5 linked regions of the Xenopus tropicalis genome follow. The main gene of each other region encodes a partner of the protein of the gene in region 2 in a complex. Links are inferred from orthologs where the notes say so. Each region holds a gene or a part of one and is shown on either strand. Other genes may lie near its edges.

Evidence for each region.
Region 1: taf7 (region 2) and taf8 share a complex: the UniProt entries of both Homo sapiens proteins name them as parts of the TFIID basal transcription factor complex. The link is inferred for Xenopus tropicalis from reciprocal best matches to the Homo sapiens genes TAF7 and TAF8.
Region 3: taf7 (region 2) and gtf2b share a complex: the UniProt entries of both Homo sapiens proteins name them as parts of the TFIID-containing RNA polymerase II pre-initiation complex. The link is inferred for Xenopus tropicalis from reciprocal best matches to the Homo sapiens genes TAF7 and GTF2B.
Region 4: taf7 (region 2) and tbp share a complex: the UniProt entries of both Homo sapiens proteins name them as parts of the TFIID-containing RNA polymerase II pre-initiation complex. The link is inferred for Xenopus tropicalis from reciprocal best matches to the Homo sapiens genes TAF7 and TBP.
Region 5: taf7 (region 2) and taf10 share a complex: the UniProt entries of both Homo sapiens proteins name them as parts of the TFIID basal transcription factor complex. The link is inferred for Xenopus tropicalis from reciprocal best matches to the Homo sapiens genes TAF7 and TAF10.

Annotation. Positions count from the first base shown.
Region 1 is NC_030678.2:70,726,574-70,729,163, forward strand, and holds the end of taf8 (transcription initiation factor TFIID subunit 8), read right to left. Parts: intron 2,085-2,590; coding exon 1,942-2,084; intron 983-1,941; coding exon 851-982; 3' UTR 511-850; downstream 1-510. UniProt on the Homo sapiens protein: The TFIID basal transcription factor complex plays a major role in the initiation of RNA polymerase II (Pol II)-dependent transcription.
Region 2 is NC_030684.2:37,692,433-37,696,452, forward strand, and holds the start of taf7 (transcription initiation factor TFIID subunit 7-like), read left to right. Parts: upstream 1-1,213; 5' UTR 1,214-1,248; intron 1,249-2,550; 5' UTR 2,551-2,593; coding exon 2,594-2,606; intron 2,607-3,901; coding exon 3,902-3,975; intron 3,976-4,020. UniProt on the Homo sapiens protein: The TFIID basal transcription factor complex plays a major role in the initiation of RNA polymerase II (Pol II)-dependent transcription.
Region 3 is NC_030680.2:105,690,933-105,695,203, forward strand, and holds the start of gtf2b (transcription initiation factor IIB), read left to right. Parts: upstream 1-1,465; 5' UTR 1,466-1,492; coding exon 1,493-1,509; intron 1,510-4,271. UniProt on the Homo sapiens protein: General transcription factor that plays a role in transcription initiation by RNA polymerase II (Pol II). Involved in the pre-initiation complex (PIC) formation and Pol II recruitment at promoter DNA.
Region 4 is NC_030681.2:50,706,513-50,710,480, forward strand, and holds the start of tbp (TATA-box-binding protein), read left to right. Parts: upstream 1-1,168; 5' UTR 1,169-1,259; coding exon 1,260-1,310; intron 1,311-1,935; coding exon 1,936-2,255; intron 2,256-3,412; coding exon 3,413-3,500; intron 3,501-3,968. UniProt on the Homo sapiens protein: The TFIID basal transcription factor complex plays a major role in the initiation of RNA polymerase II (Pol II)-dependent transcription.
Region 5 is NC_030678.2:177,470,373-177,474,390, forward strand, and holds the start of taf10 (transcription initiation factor TFIID subunit 10), read right to left. Parts: upstream 2,803-4,018; 5' UTR 2,792-2,802; coding exon 2,623-2,791; intron 1,572-2,622; coding exon 1,420-1,571; intron 1,186-1,419; coding exon 1,121-1,185; intron 191-1,120; coding exon of another isoform or gene 158-190; coding exon 43-157; intron 1-42. UniProt on the Homo sapiens protein: The TFIID basal transcription factor complex plays a major role in the initiation of RNA polymerase II (Pol II)-dependent transcription.

The sequences.
Region 1 (2,590 bases), on a different chromosome or scaffold from region 2:
ATACTTTGTATTTATCTATTATTATCCTAATAATCCCGTTGGTATTACTGTATTCTACTGTACAGCGATGCGTACATAAGTAGCGATTTATAAATAAAGATATACATACATACATACATGATTGCATCCATAAACAAAAAAAGGCTATGTATCATGCTGACCCACCTACTCTCTTTCCTTTCCACTTACCTAACACTCAATCTATTGTTTATTTTAGTAATTGAATTGCTTTTGGTACAGACATACTAATTTGTCTGCGCTCAGCAAATCAAAGACATTTTCAAAACTGTTTTAAGATCAATCTCTTGTATTAGGTGTATGCATAATATACTTACCAGCCAATCTTATTTTACTACCAAATTGCATACTTAATTAATACTGCAGAAACAAAAGCACATTTACTGCTTTTCATCTATACATTTGGCTTATATTCTAAAATAGCAATAAGTGTGTAAACATTACGTGTATTGTGCACAAAACTAAGCAAAACAAACAAAAAAATACCCTTCATATTTTCAAAAATCTTTTATTATGAAACACCTCATGAGGGACAGTATCTGTGTCCTCAAATCAGGGTATTAAATGAAAAGATATATATTATATCAGGGTATGAAATGAAAGATATATATCCCTATTCAAGGATCCTTATAAGGTTCAAACATTGCATGTCAAGACTCAAATTAAAGTTGCCCATATGGACTCTTAACTTTTCCTGTAATCAACAATACAGAGCAGCCAACTTTAATAAAATTTCAATATCAACATCCTTTTCAAGCTCTGGTAAATGGAGTCACTAATGTCCAGTTAAATATTCTGTAGTTTTTCATTCAGAATCTCAGGGTTGGCTACTCTATTTCTTACGCCTCAGCTTAGGTTTTTTCACAGGTCGTAGATAGGGATTATCTATAAGTGTTTCCTCTCCACCCTTCATTGAATTCTGCTGTAAAACAGATGAATTTTCTTTCTCCATGCCCACCTCGTCCTTGGGAGTTAAAAATAAAATAGGAAGTTAAGCAATAAAATATCAAAATATACCAGGGAAAGGGCACTGGGATGAATTAAGGTCAACAAAAGGGTGAAGCATTCTAAAGCATGTAGTGGATGGCTGAGCAGAAAACAGGTTGAGGAAAGAATGAATAAAGTAGTTAAAGGAGACATATAGCATAAGTGTAACCCCCCCTAAGCTTGGTGACAATAATGAATAATATATTTTTCACTCAGGGGAAAAAAATGCTCATTATCTTTTAAAAGATAATTTATCGGAGCTCTCTCTATATATATATATATATCTGCTCAATTAAGGGGTGGGCATGTTCTAATGGTTCCTGCCATAAGCAGGATGGGGGTGGGGTAGCAAATCACAGCCCTCTAGTCACAGTAGCAAAGACAGGCTTTAGTTCCCTATCAGGTCTACCTAGCTTCTAATTCTTATTATACAGTGCAGTGTGCTAAGTGCCAACAGTTCCTCTGTACAGCCTGGGAAAGGAGTCAGCAGGAAGTGAAAGAGATGAGTGGGACTAGTAGGGATCTGCATTACATTTTTAATAAATCAGCCAAAGCATATCTTTTTTAATGCAGATTCCTTCTATGTTTTTACACAATATGTCTCCTTTAAATAAGGACTACAACAGTATCCAAACATTGTATCCAAGGCTATTGTGATACTAAAATCTATAGTTAGTATTGATGTTGGTTTATGTATGTGAGTGTATATGGTCAGTATATGGTATGTGGTCAGTATAGATTTGTGTGTGCTGGGTTTACTTGGAAGGGTTGAAATTGATGGACTCTGGTCTTTTTTCAACCCTATGGAACTATGAGTAAATTAAGTTAGATAAACAAACATAGGAAACATAACAGTAAAATATAAAGGCAAAGCAGTAAGTTGCATGCGGAATGATAAATATAGGACATAACAAACTCAAGTTTCTCTCCATATACCCCTTGCAGATGCATAGACAGGTTCTCTGCGTCAGTCTGATCATCTTGCTCTGAGGAATCAGTCTCCTCTACTTGCTGCAATTCTAGTTCTGATGGGAGGAGGGCATTCAGATAAGGTATTGAGAGTGGACGTGCTGCAATCACTGGCAAACGAAAAAAAAAAAGCCTCAGTTTTAAATTTAACAAAAACAATATTCTGGATGAGGTACAATAAATCACAGAGGGAGAAAAGAAAAACATATCAGTAAGGAACAAAAGAATGTTCCTGACAAAGTAAGGTAAAATAATATATCTGACTGGGAAGCCAATTAAACATCATATGGAAAATAGGTCTTCCATAATATCTAATAGGAAAAATATTAGTAACAAGCTTAAGTGTATCTTTAAAGACAATATAATATAGCATTACAATATATGCTGGCTTTTTAAAAATAACAGATATACAGTCATATGAAAAGGTTTGGGAACCCCTCTTAATTATTTGGAGTTTTGTTTATCATTAGCTGAGCTTTCAAAGTATCAACATCCTTTTAATATTTAACATGTCTTCTGGAAACGGTAGTATTGGATTAACAGAAAATATGCATCATAACCTGCATATGAAGTTCAAGGCTTAACAAGCTGATTCAACCAATTTGGTGTTGCCAGT
Region 2 (4,020 bases):
TTGTCAATGTGTCTACCCTGCATTGGAAAAGAATTTTATAGCACGGCTTATTTTAGATTTTAGGTAAATATGAATATCTGCTTTTATTTTATCCCAAGAGCTGACATTCATGTATGCCTGTAAGTATATCCATACAGTGCCACAAATAAGTAAAGCATTTTGCAGAAGGAACAGTTCCATTTTATATATAACATTTAAATTCAAACTTTATATATAAATACAGTAAGTTTCTGTAAGTCCCCTCTGGAGAAGCTTACGGTGCCACCCTTCCTACCATGACAGCATGCCATTGTAACTTTAATAAGTAAGGAGACGTATCACTTCCTGGTATAAATGAGCGATAACTGACTAGTGTACTTGCTCTCACTCCCAATAGTTAGTATTTCTAACACTACAGGATTCTAATGCTCCTGCCCATAAGACTTACAGTGCTGATGAACCATAATAAAGCAGAAGCTACCAATGGCAATTTTATTAATACTCAGATTGTAAGCTCTATGGGGCAGGGACCTCCTTCCTACTGTGTCTCATACCACATGGCACTTATAATAAATAAATACATATATGTATATATATATATATATATATATCACTCGTCCTCCCTGTGTGTAATTTTGTATTCTGTAAGACTGTACAGCGCTGAGTACCCTTGTGGCGCTTTATAAATATAGTTGTACATACATACATTAACACGTATGAGACCCTAATGTCTGCCACTTAGCTCCCAGCATGCACAGCGGCACTTACTCCTCTCACTTACAGGGTGCAGGGAGAAACCCACCGCTTAGCAGAGCCGCCCGTTCCACAGTACACACTCTCCGGGGACTGACCCTACCACCCCTATCGGTAACACATACATAGCATCACTTGCTACTCTCATTTCTATTTCGAGCTTCCGTATTCTCTGCAATCATTTGTGAGAGACTTTGGCTGGGTACCCAATTGGTTAGCGAACTCCAAGTACGGTGTCCATTTCAGGACATACATTGTCCAAATTCAAGTGCAAAATTAATACTAGAAGGGGGAGGCGCAATTCAGAGATTTTGGAGGTGGGAGAAAGCAGGACGCACTTGGATTTTTAGATAATTGACCTATAATGGACACCGTAGTCCTGGGCAGTGTGAACCAATCAGAAGGCAAAGGAGTCCGGCTCTATTCCACATACTTCCGGTATCTGGTGCTCTGTGGGCTAGGAATTTCCCATAGGTGTAACTTCACAATGAATTAGAGAGCAGCGGGTCTCCTCCGGTAAGTAGAATACCTGTAGTTCGTCGAGGTGATGGGCCGAGTCTTCGCCGGGGGTTACTGGGAGTTGTTCTTAACCCACAGATGGGAATTCGAAGAACAAATTAGTTTATTATACTCAGTGCCGGTGTGGGCTATAGAGACTGTAGTGCTCCTTATAACGCTGCATAGCTACAAGAAGCAAGCTTTAGCTTTATAGGTGGCAGTCATTTCCAGGGACTGCAACACTAGTCCCCACCGCACTCAGACTGTAAGCTCTGCAGGGCAGAGACCGCCTTCCTTCTGTCTCTCTTACCAGTGACACAGTTATGTATTTTTATACTTATTTATTGCAGTGTTTGTTCTCCCTGTTTACACTTTTCTGTATTGTATAATTGTGCAGCTCTGCATATTCTAGTATGTATGTATGTATATCTTTATTTATAAAGCGCTACTTATGTACGCAGCGCTGTACAGGAGAATACATTAATACAAACGGGCTTATTAAGATAAATACAAAGTCTAACAATAAATATAAATTAATACAAGATACAGTTGCAATAAATTAAAGGAGAAGGAAAGGCTAAGTCACTTGGGGGTGCCAAAATGTTAGGCACCCCCAAGTGACTTAAATAGCTTACCTTGTGCCCCTGTTAGGAGAACACTGCACCAGCCCGGGGTACCTGTAGCGAGCGCTTCCTTCTTCCGTGTTTTTTCTGCGGTGAAATCCCTTGGCCGGCGCATGCGCATTAGAGTGAAAAGCCAACTTTGTTGTTACAGTTCAGCTTTTCACTCTACTGCGCATGCGCAAGCGCGCCAACGCGGGAGAAGGATGCACTCGCTGCTACCCCGTGCTGGTGCTGTTCTCCCTAACGGGCACCAGCCTGGGGTACAAGGTAAGCGATTTAAGTCACTTGGGGGTGCCTAACATTTTGGCACCCCAAGTGACTTAGGATTTCCTTCTCCTTTAAGAGTCAAAGACACAAGAGGATGGAGGTCCCTGCCCCGTAGAGCTTACAGTCGTACAGTAGTAGTACTTTAAAGCTGGTCTGTATGCCACTCCTTTAATGGCTTTGGTTGTAATAGAGAAATTGCGTGTAAGAATTCCTCTTTTAACAACTAAAATTTGTGGAGCAGATTGTCAAAACTGATTCCCACTCACAAGCTCACTAAAATATCTGTGTGCAGCCAGTCTTTTAAAAAGAAAAAAAAAAGGCTTAAACGTTCTGGGGACCTACTGTAGTCATAACAATGGTCTGTCGTTAGAATTTATGGACGATTGGCCAAGTGCAAGATTTAATCTCATGGTTTTTTTTCCACCCACAGATTTCTTTGCCCCCTACTACTGACTTCTCCTGACAGATTGGCCATGACTTCCACAAGTAATATAAATGTTGTTTAAGCGACTGCTAACTTTTTTCTTTACACTATAGTAAAAATACAAATGAATACCTTCTGTATACATTAAATCCTGTATTATATTAAACAACCTTGAAGTGCTTAAAGGGCACCTATTGCAAAAATTACATTTTAATACAGGCTGCATCATATTGAAATAAGAAGATCTCTAGATGTAATCAATTAAAAACTTCTGTACTGTGTCTGAAATAATCAATTTACTCTCCCAGCATCTGTCTCTCTTCATTCTCTCTTTATTCTCTCTCTCTTTATTCTCTCTCTTTATACACTTATTAGGATTCTGATTTTGATTGACAGTTAAGTCTTGTACAGCATTTGGGGGGGGGGGGGGGGGGTAGGTGATCCTTTTGCCTAAAATATGTATTAGAGCTCACTCAAAAATCCTGCCTCTCTACGTCCAGAGAATAAAGACAGGTAGATGCTGAGTGGGAGACAATGAAGAGTAACTTAGTTATTTCAAAAATGGTACAGAATTTTTATTATATTTAGAAAGTTTCTTCCCCATTGTAGGAGAACAACAGATTCTTGTATCTCCAGAAAAGGAAGAAATTTTGGATACACACGTTACAGACTCTTCACTCTAGGGGATTAAAATAAGAGTATAATCTATATGCATTTATTTAATAATATGTGAAAGTAGACTACACTACTGATTTTTGGCTGATTTTTGTATTACACTAGGAATACCAATGATTCTTATTTAATGTATACCTACTGTATGGGATTGCAGCACATTGCATAACATGTACCTTTAAGAGGGGAGCTTTAGGTAGACACTAACAAATGTGTTGTCATTTACTTTTTTGTTTGATAAAGGGGCAGGTTCCATGAAACTTTATTTTTTTTTATTTTTACAATAAAAGCTTTGATTTTCACCAATATTTAGACTTTTTTGTTTATTATAACTTAAGTCTGGTGATTGGCACATTTCTACACTCGGGTTAAGCTAATGTATTCACTGGGGTTGCCTAACACACCATCTCTTAAAAATTTCTATTTCTTAGTCTTTTAATTTATTACTAGTAATATATCCTTTAACATATAGAGACAATGTAATGTGCAGAAATACATGCACTTGTATACTTTCATACCATATTAACAGGAAAATAAACATAATTTTCTTGTATATATGTGCGCTATCTAGAAAAGTGAAAGAGCTGGTAAATATTAATTTCTTTACTTTTCAACACTTCCTCTATATGAGTCCTACTGCCTACAAGGCCAACTGACTTCTGAGTTTTACATATTCCTTCCATAGAACAAAAGACATCAAGGAGCAAAGATGATGCCCCACACGAACTAGAGAGCCAGTTTATCCTGCGACTCCCACAGGTGAGTATGACACCTATCCGAGCAAGGAATCCTATGTAGAGCTGC
Region 3 (4,271 bases), on a different chromosome or scaffold from region 2:
TAGGAAAACTGGGAAGGACTTACTAACCTTGATGTGGCGATAGCTCCGCCTATGTGGCACCACAGCCCCACCTCTTCCCCACCCTTTGTGATGTCACCCCGCCCCCTTGCCCCACTAAGAAAGCCGGCAGAGGTGGCAACCCTAAAGTAAAACAATAAAAACAAACTTAATTGGTTGCCATATGTTTTTACCCAATTACAAACTTGCCCAATGTATATAAATGAGCCCTGTTATGCTTTGTGTGAAGCAGGACATTCTTAGCAGAAAGATAAGAGGCCCTCGCAAAGGGGACATATTTTCAAGTGCTCCAAATCTCTTCTAGCAGCGATGCGGGCTTAACGACCCATGTTTCCTTCCCATCTGCATTAATATAAATCACCGCTAGGTAAACATACGCCCTGTATAGTAGCTAGCCTAGTCGCAACTTACGGTAGCCATATACAGGCTGATTTTAGCTGCTATCGGTCCTTCAGACCAATTCAGCAGCTTATCTGCCCATGTATGGGCACGCACGACAGGCCACCCCAACCGACATCTGGCCTAAAATCGGCCAGATCTCTATTGGGCAGGTTTGATTTTTATGTTGGGTCAGGGACCACATTGACTGCACATTGATGCAGTCCCCAAACTGACAGCTCCTGTACCCTCTGTTTTAATTCAATCGTACCCCGCGAGTGGGCATAATGAATATCAGCTCATTTGCTGACCTTACAGTGTATGGCCACCTTAAGGGGCATATTTATTATGCTGTGTAAAAAAAAAAAAAAAATTCGCCAGGCTTCGCCGTGTAAAAATGGCGTAATTGTTTTACGCGTTTTTTCTTCCACCCGAACTTATGGGAAAATAACGGCGTAATATCCGACATTCAGGTGGCGATCTTTTCCATTTATTTTACACAGCTTTTTACTACGAATTAGTTTTACACAGCATAATAAATACGCCCCTAAGTGTCCATTAATCCTCAGCTGGGGCAGCCTTATTGCCCCACACATATTCTACTCCGGCCATTGTTTCTGTATAAAAGTTTTTTGGTTTTTTTTTATTATCTTTAGCAATATTTCCCCATTTAATAGTTAAGAATTTTAATGAAAGTTGTGGGAATCAATCCCAGATACGGCTATACCACCACATAAAAGAATTTCAAGAAAAATATATATTTTATATAAGAAAACATAACAAAGTTACTGCTTACTTGTACTAGGTTGAGAGTAGTAGTAAAATAAACTGCGTACCAAAGGGAAATGACAGAGTATACCCACACTGCATCTCGCCAAAACTCAGACGCCTGTACGTTCCTCCGTATTACGCACACGTAACTAAGCCCGGCGCTGTCTCTCTGTAGCTGGCAGTGCTGCGCATACATGTGACATCCGCTGTGCGCCGGCCGCCCTGCCTCACTGGGCACGTGACTGGCTAGTCTATATAAGGAAGAGCGCGCCGTCTGTCGGGCTTGTTTCAAAGCAGATTGAAAAGTCGGCGTTAGAAGACAGTCATGGCGTCGACGAGTCGGTTAGTATGTTACCTACCTTTTGGTGCCTTTGCAGTTGTGTTTGTCCTGTCCGTGGGCAGCATGCAGCGGGGGGCTGCTTTGGATAGACTTTCGCTTTCTATTACGCGGGGTGACGACCCTACTGGGGAGCGAATATGAAACTCTCTATACGGCCCCTAAATCAGAACTAATCGTGCCGTACGGTGCAGTTGTTCGGCCGTAGTCCCTGTGAACTTTGTATTAGTCGCTGGGGGAATGGTGGGGATTGTAATGCAGTGAGTTATGGAAGCCAGCGCTGTCAAGTTCGCCTTCATGGCTGGAATCCTTTGTGCCCTGCAGCCTAACTGGGCCAATATTATCCTGCAATGGGGATTGGTGGAACGAGCCATTATTACTATGTTTTCTCAATGGTGATAGGGTTTTGTGGTGGGCCCTTAACTATGGGATTCAGCATAGTCCAGTTATGGGGAGATTTAGGGATAGTACTTATTTGCCCTATTAGCCCAGGTTGAGGGCCACTGAGCAATTTGGACAGGAGACCCTGTTAAACTGACTGCCCCTGGGCTACAGCTGATTGGCTAATGCAGCAATGCCTGTCTGTCCTTTTTATTAACTAAGGGGCTTTTAAAGTCTAGAACAGTGGTCCCCAACCAGTGGCTCGTGAGCAACATGTTGCTCCCCAACCCTTTGGATGTTGCTCCCAGTGGCCTCAAATAAAGTGCTTATTTTTGAATTCTTGGCTTGGGGGCAAGTTTTGGAGGCATAAAAACCAGGTGTACTGCCAAACAGAGTCTCCTATTAGGCTGGCAGTCCATATAGGGGCTGCCAAATAGCCAATAACAGTCCTTATTTGGCACCCCCAGGTACATGTTTCATGCTCGTGTTGCTCCCCAAGTCTTTTTACACTTAAATGTAGCTCACGGGTAAAAAAGGTTGGGGATCCCTGTTCTAGAAGATAACCTAGTACTGTTTTGTGATTCTGTAAACCGGGTGGGTTCTTGTCTCCGCTATAGGGCAATATCCCTGCAATAGTGGCTTTGGCTTCCCCACTGGTTGCTATGTTAGTTGCTATCATTCTATTGACCTGAGTTTCCTGACCTTTTTCTCTGGGGACCAGAGCAAAGTCTAAAAGTTTTGTGACCCAAGTATTATTTATAATATACTTAATTATAATGTGGCTTATTTCATTTTAAGTAGAAGCAACACTGTAAGTCACTCACCTTAAAGCATTGGAATCCACTTTGGTGCCCTGATCTGTAGGGCTTTTGATGTATGCACTTCTCTTCTGGCTTTTAATTACATTTAGCTGCTTCAGTCAGAGCTACGTAGGTGTCTAAATGGTGTGGCATGGCGCTGTCAGGTGTATGTGGCTATGAGGCTGGCTGCAGTCATGTTTGGCATTTGCTTGGCAGGGGGCCTGTAGATGAGTCTTTAATGCTAAAGAAGTTCTGATCTTTCCCTTATATTGACTATTCTGGGGAAAAAATGGACTTTAATAGCTCCGCTTTCTCCCTGGGTTAAAAGGCTAGTAACAGCAGGACCTAAACACGCAGTCAAAACATTTACATATAACGTATGGGCATATTTATCTGAGTGAAAATAAATCTACCCATCACTTATTAACTTTGATAAATATGCCCCTAAAATACTATAAAAGCGCATTATTCCTTGAAAAATTTGCCCCTAGAGTAAGTAGCGGTTTATTGTCATCCCAACAATATACTTAAAAGTATGCAGTGGAACAAAATATCGTCCTCCTGGAGCAAAAAGGTGCAAGAGAATATGGACCTGTAAAACCTTCCTATGGTGAAGTGTCTATTTTCATCCATTTAATAAATGTGTCCCTTAGTGTGAAAACTTGAAGCTTGGGCACCAGTTTTAGAAAGTGATATCTTATTTGAAGATTCATCAATAGATCCCAAGGGTCTTTAAAAAAAAAAAACACTCTCTGAACACAGTGTGCGTTCTAAACATGCTTCAATGGGGTAAGGGAACATAAGTTGTAATTTTGGGAATATTAGTGCAGTAAAGAGGAGGGTGTGCTAGAAGTGTGTGCCACTCTTTATAAAGCTAAAAGTTTAGTGTTTAGGCCAGTTGTAAAGAGATGGGTAAACACTGCTAAATAAATGTTCATAAACCCTTGAATTTCATGGACTGTAATGTTTAACTTTGCTAATGGTTGCATATGTTAAAGAATGACTGACATTGCTGAATTTGACCTCTTAAGGTGGCCATACACGTAACGATCCGCTCGCCTGGCGAGATCGCAGAGCGAGCGGATCTTCTCCCGATATCCCCACCTACGGGTGGGTGATATCGGGGAATTTAGGCTAATTCGGTATGACTGTAAAGGGCGCAGTTGGTTCGGGGACCGCATCAACGAGCCGATGCGGTCCCCGGTCGGACTGAATCTTTTAACCTGCCCGATCAATATTTGCCCAATTTCAGGCCAGATATCGGTTGGGCAGGCCAGTCCAGTCGTTGCTGACCCTACACAGGCCGAAAAGCTGCCGAATCAGTCCAAGGGACTTATCGGCAGCTACAATCGGCCCGTGTATGGGGACCTTTATGGAGTATTTTTGACAGACCTACCTGCTATCCCATTTGATCAGTCTGTCCAATAGAAAATTCTGCCATTGCCTCACATTTACAGGGCATTAGCAGATCTAGAAGTATATTGTATCCCCAGAATGATTGGGACCTGGGGTTTTTCAGCTAAGAGAAATGTCTGTAATTTGGATCACCATACTTATGTTTGCTAAAAACACACTAAACGCTATTA
Region 4 (3,968 bases), on a different chromosome or scaffold from region 2:
TTGAGCTGACCAATTTGATTTGGAGCCATTTTATCTAGTCTAATAGTTTCTACTATTTTCTAGCTCATTCTGTAGTGCTACAGCCTAAACTCAGCAATAAACCTACGGCTCCCTGTACTGTTGAGGCATGATCTTACTGAGTACAATGGAAATTAGGCACTAAGTTATGTACATAAACCAACCTTGTGTTGTGAAACTAATTTGTGCGTTTAATTGGTTCCTCAGAGAAAAAGGTTTAGGGGCACATATAGCAAAATTTGTATTATTGTACTACAAAATCTCAGAATTTAGATATAACAAGGCTTGATTATTACATCTGAATGAATACGTTTATGGTTTTTATAGCTTCTTAGGGCTCTGGCACACGGGGAGATTAGTCACCCGCGACAAATCTCCTTGTTCGCGGGAGACTAATCTCCCCAAAATGCCATCCCACCGGCGATTCAGTGAAATCGCGGAAGTTGCCTTGAGAGGAAACTTCCGCTATTTCACTGAAATCGTGCCGCCACGTATGCCATCCCACCAGCGAATGACATTTTCGCCGGTTGGATGGCATTTCGGGGAGATTAATCGCCCGCGAACAGGGAGATTTGTCGTGGCGACTAATCTCCCCGTGTGCCAGAGCCCTTAAGAGATTTGGAGAAACTAAAACCACACGCAGGTCATTTTACAAATTTTGCTTGAAGGAATCCCATTGTGACATCTGCAAGTGTATAATTTGACTACACCATTTTAGTATACCTTTTTTTGTCATTTCAAGCAATTTGCTGCTGCTAATATTATAAATATCCCCTACATCTTATCTTTTTTTTTTTTTTACTTTATTTGTTCTTTTAAACAGTCATCTAGTTGTTGGGTCACTGATTTATACAGTAGGATTAATAGCAGATTAGCTTCATGGTGTTGTCTTTACTGCTTGCTATGGTCACATAAGGTTGTCATACACTTGCAGGTTCTAGCTGCCAATTTAGTTCCTTCAGACCAATTTGGCAGCTTATCTGCCTGTGTATGGGCACCCCCAACACGGATCGGGGACCACATTGGCTCGTTGTTATGGCCCTCTGTCCTACTGTTAACTTATCACATTTACCAATACAGGTGCTAACTGCTGAATGTAAGCTATGTTTTAATGTTTTTTTTTTTTTTTTTTTTTTAACTTCTTTTTATAGGATTTTTGTCTGCTGCTGGAATGGTTTATTTTAATTTGTAGGAACAGCACACTTTGTTTTATTCTTAGTGGGATTTCCAATTAACGCAACATGGATCAAAACAACAGTATACCCCCTTTCCAGGGGTTGGCATCACCACAGGTAAGTGTGAACCCTTTTTTCCCTTTTACCACAATTCCCCCTCCATAAAATAAAATGCCTTTAAAAGCATTGTAATATTCACTTCATTTGCACTTTCTAAATTGGGGGGTATACGGTATACCGGGTGTGGTTAATTTGGACAACAGATACAATACTGAAGAATGAAAAAATAGAAGAAAAACTTGAGACACAGGCCAATATGCTTCCAACTGACTTAGGGGGGAAATGCAAGTCAGCAGCCAATATTGGCTTCAATGCAAATGTTTCTCTTGCTGGGGCGCTTGTCGTAATAGGTGGAGGAACGCCATCCTGAGGGCTCTTGAACACAAAACAGATGTGTTCCGTTCTCATTCATGCATGTGAATGAATATAGAGCTGCATTTCATCCTATGCTTCCTTGTGGTGGAAAGGAGAAGAAATCCAATTCGGGAGACTGCAGGGTGAAAACACCTGTGTGTAAGAGCCCTTAGCTTGTCCTACTCCATGTGCAGGGCTATACCATAAGATTTTCATTAAAGAAATCCCCATGTACTAAGCCCATTTTAACTTGTGATTCAACTTGTGTGTGGGTTTGAGAGCAAATTTGTTATAATTTTTTTTTTTTTTTTGTCTTTTATTTCTGTAGGGTTCTCTGACTCCAGGGATTAACATTTTCAGTCCGTTGATGCCCTATGGAACTGGTCTGACCCCTCAACCTGTACAAACAACTAACAGTTTATCAATATTGGAAGAACAGCAAAGACAACAACAACAGGCCCAGCAGTCTACATCACAACAAGGCAATCAGGGGTCAGGCCAAACCCCACAACTGTTTCACCCACAGACTCTTACCACAGCACCTCTTCCAGGAAATACACCCTTATACCCCTCCCCAATGACTCCCATGACCCCTATTACTCCTGCTACCCCTGCATCAGAAAGTTCAGGAATTGTTCCTCAGCTACAGTAAGTCTCATCATCCTGGGGGACATTTTGCAGATATCATTTGTCAGATTATCTGTATCTGCACACTTGTCAACAAATCCTTATGTTTGTCTGTACATTTCTGTAGTGCCATAGAGCATACAACTCTGCAAATGGTAAATATTAGATATACAGGAAATGGAAACATATTCTGGCATATTTTAATTTTAGACAGTAATGACTTTATTTGTTATACCACATTTGAGTGTGGCCTGTCAAAATTAAAAGACCTTATCTTTGTTTTACCTTTGGTACTAATGAGTATTTTAACAGTGCTGCATTACCTTTGTTTACCCTGTGAGTGTTACATTTGTTTAAAAAAAAAAAAAGCTACATTTCTTAAAAATATAGGAGTCCATATTAGATTTAAAAGCTACCAGGCCAGGGGTGTGTGTATATATTAGGTCTAGAAACAGATGCAGACGGTTTCCTCATTTCAGACTTTTACACCACATTCTTGAGACTGAATTGATGTCATATTTAAAGTGAAACTTTATTGAGGGAGAAAGACTTGTCTTGATATGTAATTTAGCATGTACAGTAGTATCCTAGTTTTAATGTGTCCTATATCTGTCCAACATGTGTGAAAAATAGAACAAGTAAAGAATTGGGAAATTAAAATAGTTTAGCACTTTTACAAGTACTAATAGTGCAAATTTTTTTTTTGTAATACTTTTTAAAAATTTCCCATGGGGCTAGCCATGTTCATTTCCCAGGGTGCCACAGTCATGTGACTTTTGCTCTGATAAAGGTCAGTCACACTTTACTACTGTGCTGCAGATAGGAGTGATATCATCATCCCCCTGCAGGCGATCAGCAGAACAATGTAAGTTAGCAAGCTAGCAGCTCCCAGTAGATATCAGAACAGTACTCAATAGTAAAAAAAAAAAAAAAATTCAAGTCCAGTAGCTCTGGCTCCTTCTGAAAGCTCAGACTCGGGCACAATGCACTGATCTGGCTGCCTACAACTAAAAAATTACTTTTGTTGGTTTAAGAATAAAATTTTAAATGGTAAATTATTTGCTATGTAAACAGTAATTTAGAAATATAAGTACACAATAAAAATTAATGACTGAATACCTTTAAATACAGTGAGCAAAAATATTTGGATTTGTAATAACTGCTTTTACATTGTTCAGGAACATAGTGTCCACTGTAAATCTTGGCTGCAAACTGGATCTGAAAACAATTGCACTTAGAGCGCGAAATGCAGAGTATAACCCTAAGGTAAGACAAAAGCCTTTGTTGTATCTTATTCACCTAATAGTTGCTTTCACTGTGACAGACGGGGAGATTAGTTGCCACGTGACAAATCTCCCTTGTCGCGAGCAACTAATCTCCTCGAAATACTATCCCATTGGCTGGAATGTAAATTGCCAGTGGGATGGCATAAGCATCGCCGAAGTTTCCTCTCAAAGATGCCGCGTATGCCATCCCACCTGCGATTTACATTCTAGCCGGTGGGATGGCATTTCGGGGAGATTAGTCGCAACTAATCATCTCGTCTGTCACAGCCCTAAATATTCTTATCTATCTGTAAAAGTCATTCAGGAGAACACACTGGTGCATTGTATGGCACTTAATTCTGTAAATGTGTGATGAGAAAAGGATTTCCTGTTTGTAATTTTGTCCTGCCATACCCACTGGGCATAGTATTTTTATGCTGGCCTAGAAGTGGCATGAGGATGGGTTATC
Region 5 (4,018 bases), on a different chromosome or scaffold from region 2:
GGGCACAATAGCCCCACTGAAGGGCATTTGCTGGCGGGGTACCTTGCTTTTGCTGCGAGAGCTCCCGGAGGCCGTCCCCTTCATCTTACAGTGCTGCAAGGCGTCATTTGCAATGTCAGAGATGAACTTCTGAGATGCCAAGGAGATCAGCCGGATTCTAGGAGAGACAAGCGGTGGGGTCAGCGGATCACTACAGAGATCGAGAGGATCCGGTGTGAAATTCAAAATAAGCGAAGTCAATACAGATGCTGTGCTGAACTCATAGTAATCACCATACAGGCCTGATTGGATAACTGCAGTAAGACTAATGAAAGCAACTCTGATTGGTTGCTAGGGTTAAAGGAAAAGTAACACTAAACATTTTTAACTAAAAAAATCTATTCTACCCTCCCCCAATAATTGCCCTATCCTGAAATCCATTTGTTATTGTGAATGCATCAACTATGCGGTGATCGACTGATCTAGCCCCTGACTTCTGTATATAGGAATGAGTCAGGCTAGGCTCGATCAGTCGATCACCGCATAGTTGATGCATTCACAATAACAAATGGATTTCAGGATAGGGCAATTATTGGGGGAGGGCAGAATAGATTTTTTAGTTAAAAATGTTTAGTGTTACTTTTCCTTTAAGGGCCGATTCGGGTCCTTCAGACCAATTCAGCAGCTTATCTGCCCGTGTATGGGCACCCCCCGACGGGCCTACCCAACCGATATCTGCCATTGCGATGGTTTGGCCCTAGCCCGGTATTGCCCACTGTAGGTGGAGAAGATCCGCTCATTTGGCAATCTCACCAAACGAGTCTCCACCAATTACATTACAGTTCCTAGAAAGCAAGATAAACAATAATAAAGAGGGATAATACATATAACGGAATGGCAGCACCAGAACGGGCACTTTAACCCCTATTTAGGCCTCCAGTTGCTGTGGCCATAAGCGTGACTGTCAGCTCTCCTGGTAGGCACAGAGCAAACGGCTACTGGCCACGGCGGCCCATAACCTAGCGCTACAGGCTGGCCAGAATAAGGGAAGGTTCTTCCTAGTCGAGGCAACTGCTACAGGGCTCTGAGAAGCTCCGGTACCCACGGGCCAATAACGTATGGCAGCAGGAGTTGTACTTACATGCGTGGGTCGGATGCTTCAAACCCGGCCCGGTTCAGGTAATATCCAGTGACGGCATCTGGGATCTGCAGGAAATCGGGAGAAGGAATGTAAAGCAAATGTTGGAACAGATACAAGCAATGATACAGGGAAACAATATGGCAGCTCCCACCAACAGATATACATACATACAGAGAAATGATGTTCTGTAGGCACAAGCTGCACCCTGACACTGTGTAAGGTGGGGCAAATGCCTGGCACTGCCCCCCCCCAGTACCCTAGGGCACAGCATTTCCCATACAGACCCAAGGGACACTTACCGTAGGGGTATAGTCCTCCAGCTGCATCAGGAAATCCACCAGGGGGGTAGTGGAAATGACAGGTTTGACATCGCCATTTGCCACCCCCGGGGGCAGGTACACGCCATTAGAGAGGGATCCCTCGGAGGGGGCAGCAGCCGCTGATGCAGGGACTGGAGGATCAATAACAGAACATACATTGGAATTGGAAAGGACTGGGCAATAGTCACACAGCCGGGCACTTACCTGCGCCCAATTCTCCAAATACCCCCCCACCCTATCTGTCCCCAAACTGTACTCCCCATTGTACAACCCAGTGGGCACCATTTGCCCCGAAACAGGTCCATTCACCCAGCTCCTTCCATACGTTCCCCTTCTCACCCCCGGCACCACTCCTACCCCCTGCCCTAGCAAAGGGCAATTCTCAGCTATGACAGCCCCCTCCTCTCTAGCTGCCCCCCGGGACCCCTTTCATCTCCAGCTGCCCCCCGGGGCCCCCCTCTCATCTCCAGCTGCCCCCCGGGGCCCCCCTCTCATCTCCAGCTGCCCCCCGGGGCCCCCCTCTCATCTCCAGCTGCCCCCCGGGGCCCCTCTCATCTCCAGCTGCCCCCCCGGCCCCTCTCATCTCCAGCTGCCCCCCGGGGCCCCCTCTCATCTCCAGCTGCCCCCCCCCGGGCCCCTCTTTGCTCCAGCTGCCCCCCCCGGGCCCCTCTCATCTCCAGCTGCCCCCCCGGCCCCTCTCTGCTCCAGCTGCCCCCCGGGGCCCCCTCTCATCTCCAGCTGCCCCCCCCGGTGCCCCTCTCTGCTCCAGCTGCCCCCCCCGGGGCCCCTCTCTGCTCCAGCTGCCCCCCCGGGCCCCTCTCTGCTCCAGCTGCCCCCCCGGCCCCTCTCTGCTCCAGCTGCCCCCCCCGGGCCCCTCTCTGCTCCAGCTGCCCCCCCGGCCCCTCTCTGCTCCAGCTGCCCCCCCCGGCCCCTCTCTGCTCCAGCTGCCCCCCCCGGGCCCCTCTCTGCTCCAGCTGCCCCCCCGGGCCCCTCTCTGCTCCAGCTGCCCCCCCGGCCCCTCTCTGCTCCAGCTGCCCCCCCCGGGCCCCTCTCTGCTCCAGCTGCCCCCCCGGCTCTCCCTTTCCCCTCCATGCTTGGGTTTCTCTCCCCAGGCCTTTCCTGGAGTCCCAGTCCCCTGTGAGTACCCCCCCCTCCCTCTCCGGTTCAGTTGCTGCCGCTCACCGCTGGCTCTTCGCTCCCCCGTGTCCCTCCCGGGTAGAGCAGCTGCAGAGGCCGCGGCAGGCCCGGGTTTGGGAATGTTTGCCGGGCTGGGCTTACTCTCTGGGGCCGGACCGGGCTGGACTGAGGCAATAGCAGATAGAGAGTCTGGCGCTGTCTCCGTCCCGCTCATCTTCACCCTTGGACAGGAACTTCCGTCAACACCCGGAAACAGCTCCTCCACTTAATCTCCTCCCCAAAACAACGGGCAGTGCCTTTACGCCATCTTCCTGCAAGGCGTGTCCCAGCGCCCCCTACCGGCCAATGCGGCAGCTACACAGCTCAGGAGAAACATAACCTTACGTAGAAAGCCCATTGGCTACCTGCCAGGGCGCGGCCATTTACTGGCTTAAAATGTTGCCAATCAAAGCGGTGATAGCAAAGCTGCGTTAGGATTTGAACAAAGCCAGACTGTGATTGGATGTCGCTTGGTTACGTGCTGAGGCACGCTAGAGTGCCGCCATGTTGCTACACACGGAAATGAGCTTAGCGAAGTGCATGGGAGTCAGACTGACAGTGAGGCGCGACACCAACTCCTTCTTCTGAGCGTGAAAAGCGCCACAGGCAACCAAACCGGGGCTGTTAGGAGCCGGCGGGCTGGACTTTACCCTGGGGCAGGGGCTGCTTGAGGCCAGTATTTGGGTGTAGCAATATGGCGGAGTTCGCAGACCGAAAACGGACTGGGAAACCACAAGAGTGAAAACCGGATCCAAATTGCTCCGACATTGATTCACTGAGCAAGTGGGTGAGTGTCCGCCTCCCGGGAGCTGGGACTTTCTTTTTATTGATCCACCCCCCCCCCCCCCGCCTCCACTCAGGCAGCCATTATGGGGGTCTCTTTACACTCACTGTCAGTAACTAACCCACTCACTGTCAGTAACTAACCCACTCACTGTCAGTAACTAACCCACTCACTGTCAGTAACTAACCCACTCACTGTCAGTAACTAACCCACTCACTGTCAGTAACTAACCCACTCACTGTCAGTAACTAACCCACTCACTGTCAGTAACTAACCCACTCGCCGTCAGTAACTAACCCACTCACTGTCAGTAACTAACCCACTCACTGTCAGTAACTAATACACTCGCCGTCAGTAACTAACCCACTCACTGTCAGTAACTAACCCACTCACTGTCAGTAACTAACCCACTCACTGTCAGTAACTAACCCACTCACTGTCAGTAACTAACCCACTCACTGTCAGTAACTAACCCACTCGCCGTCAGTAACTAACCCACTCACTGTCAGTAACTAACCCACTCACTGTCAGTAACTAATACACTCGCCGTCAGTAACTAATACACTCGCCGTCAGTAACTATACACTCGCCGTCAGTAACTAACACACTCGCCGTCAG